3 linked regions of the Saccharomyces cerevisiae S288C genome follow. The protein of the gene in region 1 interacts with the protein of each later gene in a biochemical or structural test. Each region holds a gene or a part of one and is shown on either strand. Other genes may lie near its edges.

Evidence for each region.
Region 2: the proteins of PSE1 (region 1) and GSP1 form a complex in vitro, tested with the Saccharomyces cerevisiae proteins (5 studies listed by BioGRID).
Region 3: the proteins of PSE1 (region 1) and YRA1 form a complex in vitro, tested with the Saccharomyces cerevisiae proteins (one study listed by BioGRID).

What each region holds. Positions count from the first base shown.
Region 1 is NC_001145.3:890,130-893,889, forward strand, and holds the start of PSE1 (importin PSE1), read right to left. Parts: upstream 2,093-3,760; coding exon 1-2,092. Other genes in the region: NIP1 (translation initiation factor eIF3 core subunit c), read right to left, coding at 2,859-3,760. UniProt on the Saccharomyces cerevisiae protein: Functions in nuclear protein import as nuclear transport receptor. Serves as receptor for classical and arginine/glycine-rich nuclear localization signals (cNLS and rg-NLS) in cargo substrates.
Region 2 is NC_001144.5:720,111-723,286, reverse strand, and holds GSP1 (Ran GTPase GSP1), read left to right. Parts: upstream 1-1,856; coding exon 1,857-2,516; downstream 2,517-3,176. Other genes in the region: YLR296W (uncharacterized protein), read right to left, coding at 1-309; ATP14 (F1F0 ATP synthase subunit h), read left to right, coding at 914-1,288; Sec63 complex subunit SEC72, read left to right, coding at 2,917-3,176. UniProt on the Saccharomyces cerevisiae protein: GTP-binding protein involved in nucleocytoplasmic transport. Required for the import of protein into the nucleus and also for RNA export. Essential for cell viability.
Region 3 is NC_001136.10:1,234,901-1,238,632, reverse strand, and holds YRA1 (RNA-binding protein YRA1), read right to left. Parts: upstream 2,076-3,732; coding exon 1,791-2,075; intron 1,025-1,790; coding exon 629-1,024; downstream 1-628. Other genes in the region: COI1 (Coi1p), read left to right, coding at 3-321; phenylpyruvate decarboxylase ARO10, read right to left, coding at 2,508-3,732. UniProt on the Saccharomyces cerevisiae protein: RNA-binding RNA annealing protein. May have a role in pre-mRNA metabolism. Component the TREX complex, which operates in coupling transcription elongation to mRNA export.

The sequences.
Region 1 (3,760 bases):
TAACATATACAGCAAATTGGCCTCTTAAAAGTGTCGCATAGCTTTGTAATAGCTCCATTGCTGATACTTTATCGTCAAGGACGGATGTGTGAATAGCAATGTGTTTTCCCTGAACTTGAACAACATCCCAATCTGGATATTGTTGGAAATTTGCTGCTTCTTCTTCTTCAATTAAACCGACGTCTTGCGTTGCTTTGGCAGTAATTAGCAGGGGTGGTATAACAATCGGTAACAACGGAACAAAATCATCACCCAGAATTCGGCAAATCCTGCTCCAACTTTGTTCTAAGTATGATCTGAGCGCATCATCTTCATCGATATCTGAGTTTTGTAAAGCGACCAATATAGAAATCAGCTCTTGAGAGTGCTCATGAAATTTTTCCTTACCAACGGCAAAACCAATCAGAGTTGCACATTCCATACATTTACCTTTCAAAACACTATTATCTTTATTGTTAACCTTCAAAACATTTAATAATAATGGCATTAGAGTATCGTAATACTTGATAAATTTATTCTTTGCAGCTTCAGCAATAAATGCAATGGTTGTTAGGGCCTGTTCCTGTACGTAAAGTTTGTTGCTTTGTAATAAAACTAATAAATTTGTCAATAGACTATCCAAGTAAGGCTCAAGAATATCCTTCGAAGCGAATTCAGAAAAGTTAACCAGAGCCGCTGCGGCGTGCGTTTGAACTCTTGAGGTGCATTCTGACGTTAGTTTAGATATTAAAGCCGGCAAAATTCTATCGTGTGCAGTTCTTTGAATGAATGGTGAAAAATCAGTAGATATTTGACCCAAAACATTACAACATCCATACTGTACTCTTGGATGAGGATCGTTGATGAGGGGAATTACCATATCCAGGATTTTTGGGATCTCGCCGATCAGAACATCAGCACAACCCTCAGCTGCAGAGGAAAGTGCCATCATGGCCGCGAATCTTTCTCTCCATTCGGTTGATGTGATCATTTGCTGTAAATATTGGAACAATGGTGCAGCCAAATATTCACCACCCAGCTTTAAAGCAACACGATCAAGAGCTTGACGAGCGTGGTCATATGTAACTTCCTCTTCATCATCGGTATCGTCAGATTCTATCCATTCTGCTGCATCATCATCATCTATGGATACCTCCGTCATCATGATTAAAGTAACCATCACTAAAGTTTGCCCGTAATTCTGGTTCGATTTACACATTTGGGGAGCGTTCTCGCTGAAAACGGTTAGCAGTTCGAGTGCTGTGGTTCTTGCTGGAGGTTCTAAATCCTTATTTTTTATAACCATATCAGTGAATTGTATTATTTGGTCAAACATATCCTTGAATAGTTTTGGTGCCAATTCCACCAACTCAATTAACGATTCAAAAACTGATGCAAGGGCATCGTCCTTACCATCATCTAAAAATCTTGGTAAACTATTCAAAAGACTTGGTAATAAAATACCTAACTTGGACCACTCAGATTTTGGTAGTTGCTTAAAATAACCCACGAAAGCCGTAACTGCAGCAATTTTGACATTATCACTTGCATCAGTAAAGCCTGATTGAAAAATTGGTAAGATACTGTTGATGTCAACAGCGGTAATTAAATAAGGTACAGTCGTCAAAATTCTAAAACTGGATTCTCTAAAATTTGGGTTACCGCTTTTTAAAGACTCTATTAAAGCTTGTAGTAATTCTGGCCATGCTGGTAAGTCGTCTTGAACACACTCAGCAATAGCATCAGATAGTTTGTGCCTAATTGAATCAGCTCTTTCCGACAAAAACCCTTTTAACAATGAAGAACGAATTTGTGCAAGAACTTCTTTCCTAATATGTGTGATATTTTTGGACATAATCATAAGCTTCGAAGAAGGGGGAGCTTTTAATGCTAATTTTCTAAACAGAACAGCAGATAATGCTGCAACTGTTGTATCTTGGGAGAAAGCGGCTTGTTCAGCCAAAAAAGTTAAAAGATACTCAATATTGTTTTCGGTAATCCATTCTTCACTAAGAGCCTTCTCAGCTACAGAACGTATTTGATTGTCAGGGGAAGCAAACGCCTGGACAATCTGAAGTAATGTTCTATTAACTTCTTCCGGTAAAGCAGACATAGCGATGGCTCTAGTTACGGTTGAAATCACGTGTCGTTAGGATAAAGTGGCTTGCAAGCTAATTACTTTTGTTTGGGCTATCTGCCACTTTGATCTACTCAGTCTATTAGCCACTCGGTATCTGAAGAGCGCCGAACTTCGATCACTGTTATAGCTGTCTATAATACTATAGTGATTATTGGACCGTCTGGTATTAGTATTCCCATTTTTTTAGTGAATTTCATTTTTCTTTTTTTCCTGGGTAGAAAATGAAAAATTTTTCAGTTTCTGCAAAGAATTGATATCGTGCGTCATGATGATAATACCGATTTACTGCAGTTCGTACAATTTATTTTTTTTTTTAGAATGTCAAACAGATAGTCCATGATAGGCTATTGGATTATTTATCAACACTCATGATCCATATATTTTGAGATTATATTTGATGAAGAAATAAAGCGGCATATCATACTTTTCTTAAAGTTTAATAGTTTGTATTATATTATAAAGAGTGTTTACGTAACAAAAAAAACTATATATATATTTGCTTATGTGTAATGTACAGTGAAGACGATTAGATTCAAACCCTAAAACTAAAAATAAAGAGATCGCTAAAAGAATCGAAAAAAAAAAAGATGAGCAATATCAAGAATAAAAAGCAAAAGTGAATATGGTTTATACTCTCCTGCTTAGTTTCCTTCTATATTTTTTGGTTGCTGATGTTATTCTTCTATCTACAATGATTTTTTGTTAAGAATGCTTTCGAAGTAGTTTTTGATTTTATTGATCAACGACGATTTGATGGTGGGTTAAGACGTTCTTTAGCGATTTTATATTCTTTGTTCAATTTTACCATTGCTTCTTCCAATTTAGTAATTTCATCACCCTTTTCGACAACAAAGATGGTCTTCTCGTCGTTTAATTTGGCTGGGATTTCCAATTCTGCGATAACAGATTGCAAAACTTCAACCACCTTATTTTCTGGAAGATCAAATAATTCGGCTAGTTTAGCAACAGAAAAACTTGAATAGAACCTCTTGAAAGAAAAGAAATAAGTCTTCAAAGATTCAACTTGTACTCTTTCCGTTAAACTATTCAACACCGTTTCCATGTTTGGTAATAAAGCCCAAGATTTTATTTCTCTTAAGTATTTAACAGAGTCTCTCCAGTTACCTTTTTGCATTGATTTGGCAGCAAACAAGACATAATCTCTTAAAGTTTCTGGTGGACCTTGGAAACTTAACTTGTCGTAATGTTCTAAGGAACGACGAATGGATTTTGGAGAGTAAGGAATTCTCTTGACCTTAATACCGGAATAGAAGGCAGTCATTCTTGGAATTTCGATCAATAAGGAACATGTTAAGAAGACGACATCGATTAAATCGAGATTGATGTGTTGGTGATATGGCAAACATTGTCTAGCACGCTCATCAGCTGAAGCATTGTTACTAGAATTGAGAGATATTCTGTGTAGGGATTGTTGGCCCAAAATTTCTCTTAAGTGAGAACTTGACAGAAGATCATTCAAAATTTGATGACATTCTTCAATCAAACATAATTTAAAGGCGGATAGACCCAATTGAACAACAACCCTGTTGAATAAAATTTGTAGGGATGAATCGAATTGGTTGATATTTGTTTGAACTTGGGAAGTTAGTAACATATCTTTAGCAGTTTGGAAATCTTTGT
Region 2 (3,176 bases), on another chromosome or scaffold:
AAACATGAACACACAACGAATGCCTGTAAACACGCTTGCCGCGCTAGACATGCAAACGATCCTCAAAAAAAAAAAAACGCTCGTATGAAGACCTAATTTACGTATTTTTTTTTTTTTTGTTTTTCGTTTACGCGTTAATTGATCGATTATGAGCTTTTGGGGAAAAGTAATTGCCGCAGCGGCTGTCGTACCGGAAGAGTGTTGTTTTTCATTACCAAAAAGGGATAATAGTGGTTCCTTTATGTGACATTGGTAAGCTGATTGGGCATAATTACTTGCCTGATGACGAATAACGCGAGAACTGCCCATATAGAATCTGACGACGTAAGGAGAAGAAAAAGCGGGAAACGGATTTCTCGTTCTAGGCCTCGGCGGCTCTTAAAATTGTAAAATGAAAATGAGAATAAAATTAAACTATACACAGCTGATCAGCGTTCTAATGAAAAAAAAATGCATTGGAAGGAAAAGCCGAAATACTTCATTTTCTGGGCATTGACGTTCTGTTGCCTCTTGTGCATACACACTTGTTTTTATTGAAATCGAGCTTATTGTAAGAGAACTTGCGCTTATCTTCAAATGCCGCTTTCCTCGAAAAAGCATTTAAACATCATTCAAGATTATTAGTCTATCAAGCTTGTCCAGACTGCTTGTTATTATGTAAAACAAGTATGTTGGTATTGTATTTGATTGCCGATTCTCATATCGCCATACACGAACCAATTATGCATCATAAAAAAAGCGTAGTTCTTTTACCCGACCAACCAACTTCTTCCTTTGTCCTCAATATCAAAGAAAAAAAAAAAAACCCACTGCTCAGATGTTATAAGGAAGGGGTGTTAACTTATATACAGGTTCATCTACCAGTCACCAGTCCATACAAACTTGAACCGTCTGCGTACCAGTCCTAATCAAAATGTTCCCTATCGCTTCCAGAAGAATACTGCTCAATGCTTCAGTTCTGCCATTGAGACTGTGCAATAGAAATTTCACTACCACAAGAATATCCTACAACGTCATACAAGATTTGTATTTGAGGGAACTAAAAGACACCAAACTGGCTCCAAGTACCTTGCAAGATGCTGAAGGTAATGTTAAGCCTTGGAACCCACCACAAAAACCAAATCTACCAGAATTGGAACTTCAAGGCCCAGAGGCTTTAAAGGCTTACACCGAGCAAAATGTAGAAACTGCTCATGTTGCTAAAGAGTCTGAAGAGGGTGAGTCAGAGCCAATTGAAGAGGATTGGCTAGTTTTGGATGATGCTGAGGAAACCAAAGAAAGTCATTGAACTTTTCATAGCATCCTCCTTGTCGAAGAAAAAACAAACAGAACCACAAGCTGAACAAGATCATTATTTTTGGCTTTCTTCCTCTCATCTTTTTATATTCGAATCCAGTACAATAAAGAAAAAGCAAAATACACTACGCACTCTTTGTAATCAGCCACACAAAATGCAGAATTTATTTTTTAAACAAAAAATACAATTGTACATAGACACGTCTTTATCTTTCCTATTACTACTATTCTTTTATTTCAATAACTATTACTTTCTAAGTATGACCTACGCTTCTTTGGTAAATAAATAATGATCCGTTTATGAAGGACATGCGTGGTTCGTCACCTTAGGATAATATCGCTCTGGACGAAAGCTCATCCCACCGAGATAGAAAAAAAATTTTCGTTTCTTTTTTCTTTGGCGAAGATTTTGAAAAATTTGAACTGTATGATCAACTTTTCCTCACCTTTTAAGTTTGTTTCGTTTTTAAACAGGAAGAACTGCTCCTTCAACATTTTTCCCTCAATCGATTTTTAGTCCAGTACAAAAGGAAAATCAAATAAACTCATTTATATTATAAATGTCTGCCCCAGCTGCTAACGGTGAAGTTCCAACATTCAAACTAGTTCTTGTCGGTGATGGTGGTACTGGTAAGACCACTTTTGTCAAGAGACATTTGACCGGTGAATTCGAAAAGAAGTACATCGCCACCATTGGTGTCGAAGTGCATCCTTTATCCTTTTACACCAACTTCGGTGAAATTAAATTTGATGTCTGGGATACTGCCGGCCAAGAAAAATTCGGTGGTTTAAGAGACGGTTACTACATTAACGCCCAATGTGCCATCATCATGTTCGATGTTACTTCCAGAATTACTTACAAGAACGTTCCAAACTGGCACAGGGATTTAGTCCGTGTTTGTGAAAACATCCCAATTGTCTTGTGTGGTAACAAGGTCGATGTCAAAGAAAGAAAGGTCAAGGCCAAGACTATCACTTTCCACAGAAAGAAAAACTTGCAATACTACGATATTTCTGCCAAGTCCAACTACAACTTTGAAAAGCCTTTCTTATGGTTGGCCAGAAAATTGGCTGGTAACCCACAATTAGAATTTGTTGCTTCTCCAGCTTTAGCCCCACCAGAAGTCCAAGTCGATGAACAATTGATGCAACAATACCAACAAGAAATGGAACAAGCTACTGCTTTGCCATTGCCTGATGAAGATGATGCTGATTTATAAGGGACAAACGAGAACAAGCTTTCTTTTTTCCCTACCCTAAACTGTATACATATTTACATTCATCTCGATATAGAAATTCAATAAAAATCCACATGATTTTGAAGATTTTATAATTGCAACAAGAAAACACAAACTAACTGGTACTCCTGTCTTTTATAAAACAGATTTAAATATATAACAAATAGTTGAATGTGAATATGCTGTGATTTAAGTATATTTAAACGTATTTGGCTTGTCTAATATTATATTTTTTAGATCGTTTATGGATCGTTTCAAACGGATGTAGGAGCACACGTAACAATTAGATTATATCTTTGAACATAAAACCAATAGCCTTAAAATCAAAGAAACGTCTCCTTCAACTTGCGTTAAAGGCATACCAAAGCAAGCTTATTCAACCATGGTTACCCTTGAATACAATGCAAACAGTAAACTGATCACTGCGAGTGATGCTGTTGTTGCACTATCTACCGAAACTAATATCGATCAAATAAATGTTCTCACTACATCTTTGATTGGAGAAACCAACCCAAATTTTACACCACAACCGAATGAAGCTCTAAGCAAAATGATCAAGGGTTTATTTGAAAGTGGTATGAAGAATTTACAACAAAAAAAATTGAATGAGGCATTGAAGAATGTTTCTTTAGCAATCGAAAT
Region 3 (3,732 bases), on another chromosome or scaffold:
AGTAAGAATTTACTATACATTTCTGCAGCCGGGATTGCGTCTATTTATGTGGTCAAGACCATAGTGAAAGCTAGAAGAGATGCTAAATTTATACCAAAGGCGCGGGGAAACAATGGTGAAGTGAATGAAAAAAACTATTATGATAACCTTGCTCAAGTCAAACCAGGGTTCCCCATACCTAAAGATGGAGGAGACAACATTGATTGCTCTGAGGACCATCAATTAGTAAGAAAGAGTAAATATGAAGGTAGCGGGCTTAGTGCTGTAACAAGAAAAAGAGGTGACAAATTAGGTTTTTTAGATAGGAGGAGAAACGAGTAACACACGTTTAATCAACCTATCCATTTTTTCAATGCAGTATTATGTATATATATATTCATCGCACTGTAAATAGTGACATATTATGAGTCAAATATGCCGAATAAACTTTAAAAGTGAGAAAAGCCGTCACCGATGAGTAGGTTAGCGTCACCTAGTGGCGGTGGTAAATATTATTACATAAACATATCAAAGTTTTATTAATACATTTTTTAATCCTTTAAATTTTCTGGAAACTAATACATAATGAAACTCGGAAAAATTAAATTTAATAAAACCAAATTAAATCAAACAAAAAATTGACAATTAATTATTTCTTTTCGAAATAGTCCGCCATTTCCTTGTCCAGATCTTCAAGACTTTTCTTAGCAGGCTTTTCTCTCTTTGGTTTGTTTTGGGATTTTGCCATAGCAGCTTTTCTATTTGGACCCCTCTTTACTGGTCTTGGAGCGTTTCCGCCTTTTTGTGGCATAGCCTTGATCCTGTCGGCTAAACTTTTGACTGGGCGTTGGTTTGGATCAACGATTAGGTTAAGTCTCAATCTTGATCTGCCTCCATCGATTGGAGAGCCGTTAAATCTTTCAACAGCCCTTCTGGCCAATTCACCGTTTTTGAATGTGATGTTAGCCATACCAGTAGATTGGCCCCTTTCGTTATAACTCAACAAAACTCTTTGAACACCACCTACTTGAGATGCAAAAAATTCCTATAATAAAAAAAAAAAAGTTAGTCATATATCTCTATGATATAAAATCAAAGAAGGAAGGGACAATACACAAACAATCAAGGAGTTGAGAGTATTAAAAGTATACCATTGCGTAGGAAAAATAAACCCTCAAATAAACATGTACCACGATGGGTGAGTTCCTCTTTGGTTTCATTAGGTGTCTCAAATCAAATATTTTTGTAACTATCATAATAAAAAAATGAAGCGATGCACTCATATCTTTTCGAACGTTCATGAAAGACATGTTTCCCATAGCTATTTTTTGAAAATGGTGCCATTCGAAACTGAAAGCTACTCCCTCTTGAAAGGATACAAAATTAATTGATCCTTCCACAACTTCAGTATTGGATGATACGCTTATTAAAAATAGGAACTAACTATCACGGTCGAGGCGACACAATACGCCAGCTTAAAAATGTAAGATTGACAGATTAGCAGATAGTCAGATTGATTTGAGTTAACCCAGCCAATAAGAACAAACCCATTCTCAGTGGTAGCTGGTAATTCCAACCTTATAGGCCATGATTTGAAGTATTGAAAAAAATTGGTATGGTTGGCTTATGAAAACGATACTCTTTTTGTATTTTCTCTAGCGAAGTATTTCGGACTCTTTCTTCATCTCTAAAAAGAGAATTCTTGATCAAAAGCGTGTGCCATATCCTTCCTTACAAAGAATATTTCTCGTATCCACACGAGACGATGCGAGTAACTAAACAAATAGCTCTCATTTCACGTATTAACATACTCTTACAGCATCCTGCTTAATGTCCCTTGGCAAACCTTCGACGTTGACCTTGACCTCTCTAGTGGTGTCCAAGAGCTTGGCAACTCTAGCGACTGCGTTTGGAGGTGCCCTAGTATTTTTTCTGATAGGGCCTCTTCTGTTTGGAAGGCTCCTACGTTGGCTACCAACTTGCTTACCAACTCTTCTTGGACCGTTACCACGAGTACCACCGACACGGGCTCTATTACTTCCTGCTTTGTTAGAGCCAATGATTTCGTCTAAGGATTTATCTAAGTTAGCAGACATTTAGCAGATGTAGGTATTTTCTTAATATGGATTTCTTAAAGTTTCAAATAGAACGAGGGAGATTTTTTTATCTATTTGTCTTCGATAGTTTTCGGATAAAACTTCTTCTAACAAAAAAACCTACTACTAAACACACGATAGGAATGACAGAAAAAAGCGAACGGAAGAAGTGAAAAAGGATAAATTTGGCGGCCTTTTATAGTTCTTCAAGTGGTGAGCCGAAAGCCGTGGAAAAACAACACGTCTCCCCGCCCCTGCCTCGTCGCGAAAAAAAAAATACTAGCAACTGGACAAAGAACTCTGTGGTAGTGGTAAAATAGCTTTAATATACGTATTTACTTTGTAAATATAGTTACATAAGGGTTTTTTATGTGTTAATGAACAGAAAACGAACAATTGGTAGCAGTGTTTTATAATTGCGCCCACAAGTTTCTATTTTTTATTTCTTTTAAGTGCCGCTGCTTCAACCATGCACTTTAGCTGTTCGGGGAAATCCAATTCGCCTAATTTGACTTCTAAAAGTTCTATCCCGCTTCTTTTGTTTGAATTCTTAAGCTCCTCCAATTTCAGTGCTAATTTAGAGGGACATTGAATGAGAGTGCTATTAGTATACTTTCCGTCGAAGTCTCCGAATGCTTCAAATAGTTTGGTCCATTTCCAAGACATAACGTCGTTATACGACCTGGTAGGGCCCATGATGGCTCTTTCAATAGTGTAGCCGTTATTGTTCCAAATGATAACTTCTAGTGGAATATTGCACTTCAGAATGGTGCTCAGTTCTTGGATTGTCATCTGTGCTGCACCGTCACCTTCAAACAAAATTAATCTTGGCTTATAGTCCTCTTTTACGTTGCCACCATTGATGTGAGCGTTTGAGTGGTCTTGCATGGCAATTCCAACACCTAGGGCGGCAGGAAGGGCCATGCCAATGGAAAGGAAAAATCCTTGCGATATATATTTTAATTGCGAAGGAAACGCGAAATCACGAACAGAGAATTGAAAAGAGCCTGTTTCACAAACGACAACATCACCAGGGTTCAAAAATTTAGGCATCGTCTTTTGTAAGTGAACTTGTGTAATAATGCTTGATTGTCCATTGGTAGGATCTTCTAACCGCATTGTTTCGTTCGTATATTGAGTTACATTTGAATCATATTGCAAAGAAAGTTTAGAAACGTCAATGCGCTTGTATAGTTCTTTTAAAATAGGGGCAAAATTGATTCCTTTGAACATTTGCTCATTGCCCTGCCTAGTGTCCACAAGGCGAATATAATTCGGATGAAATTGAATGATTTTAGCATTTGGTTTATAAGTAAAAGTATAATGCCCATTATTAATTTCATTGATGTCGACTCCAAAATGCAAGACCAAGTCGCACAGTTCAAAATGTTCATAGACTTGTTTTAAACCTTCTTTACCATTATATTGACCCATATAAGTTGGGTTTGACTCATCAATTACAGATTTTCCCATAACAGTGGAAAAATTCCAAATCCCAGTTTTGCAGATAAGCTTGTTCAAAAAGTTACTCACACCATACCTATCAGTCAGTACGTCTCCAAGGATCGCAGGTGTTTTACTGGAATATATCCAACTAGTAATCTTGTTGATTATGTCAGACAATTGGTTTTCAGAAGGGTATACTATACAATCTTGT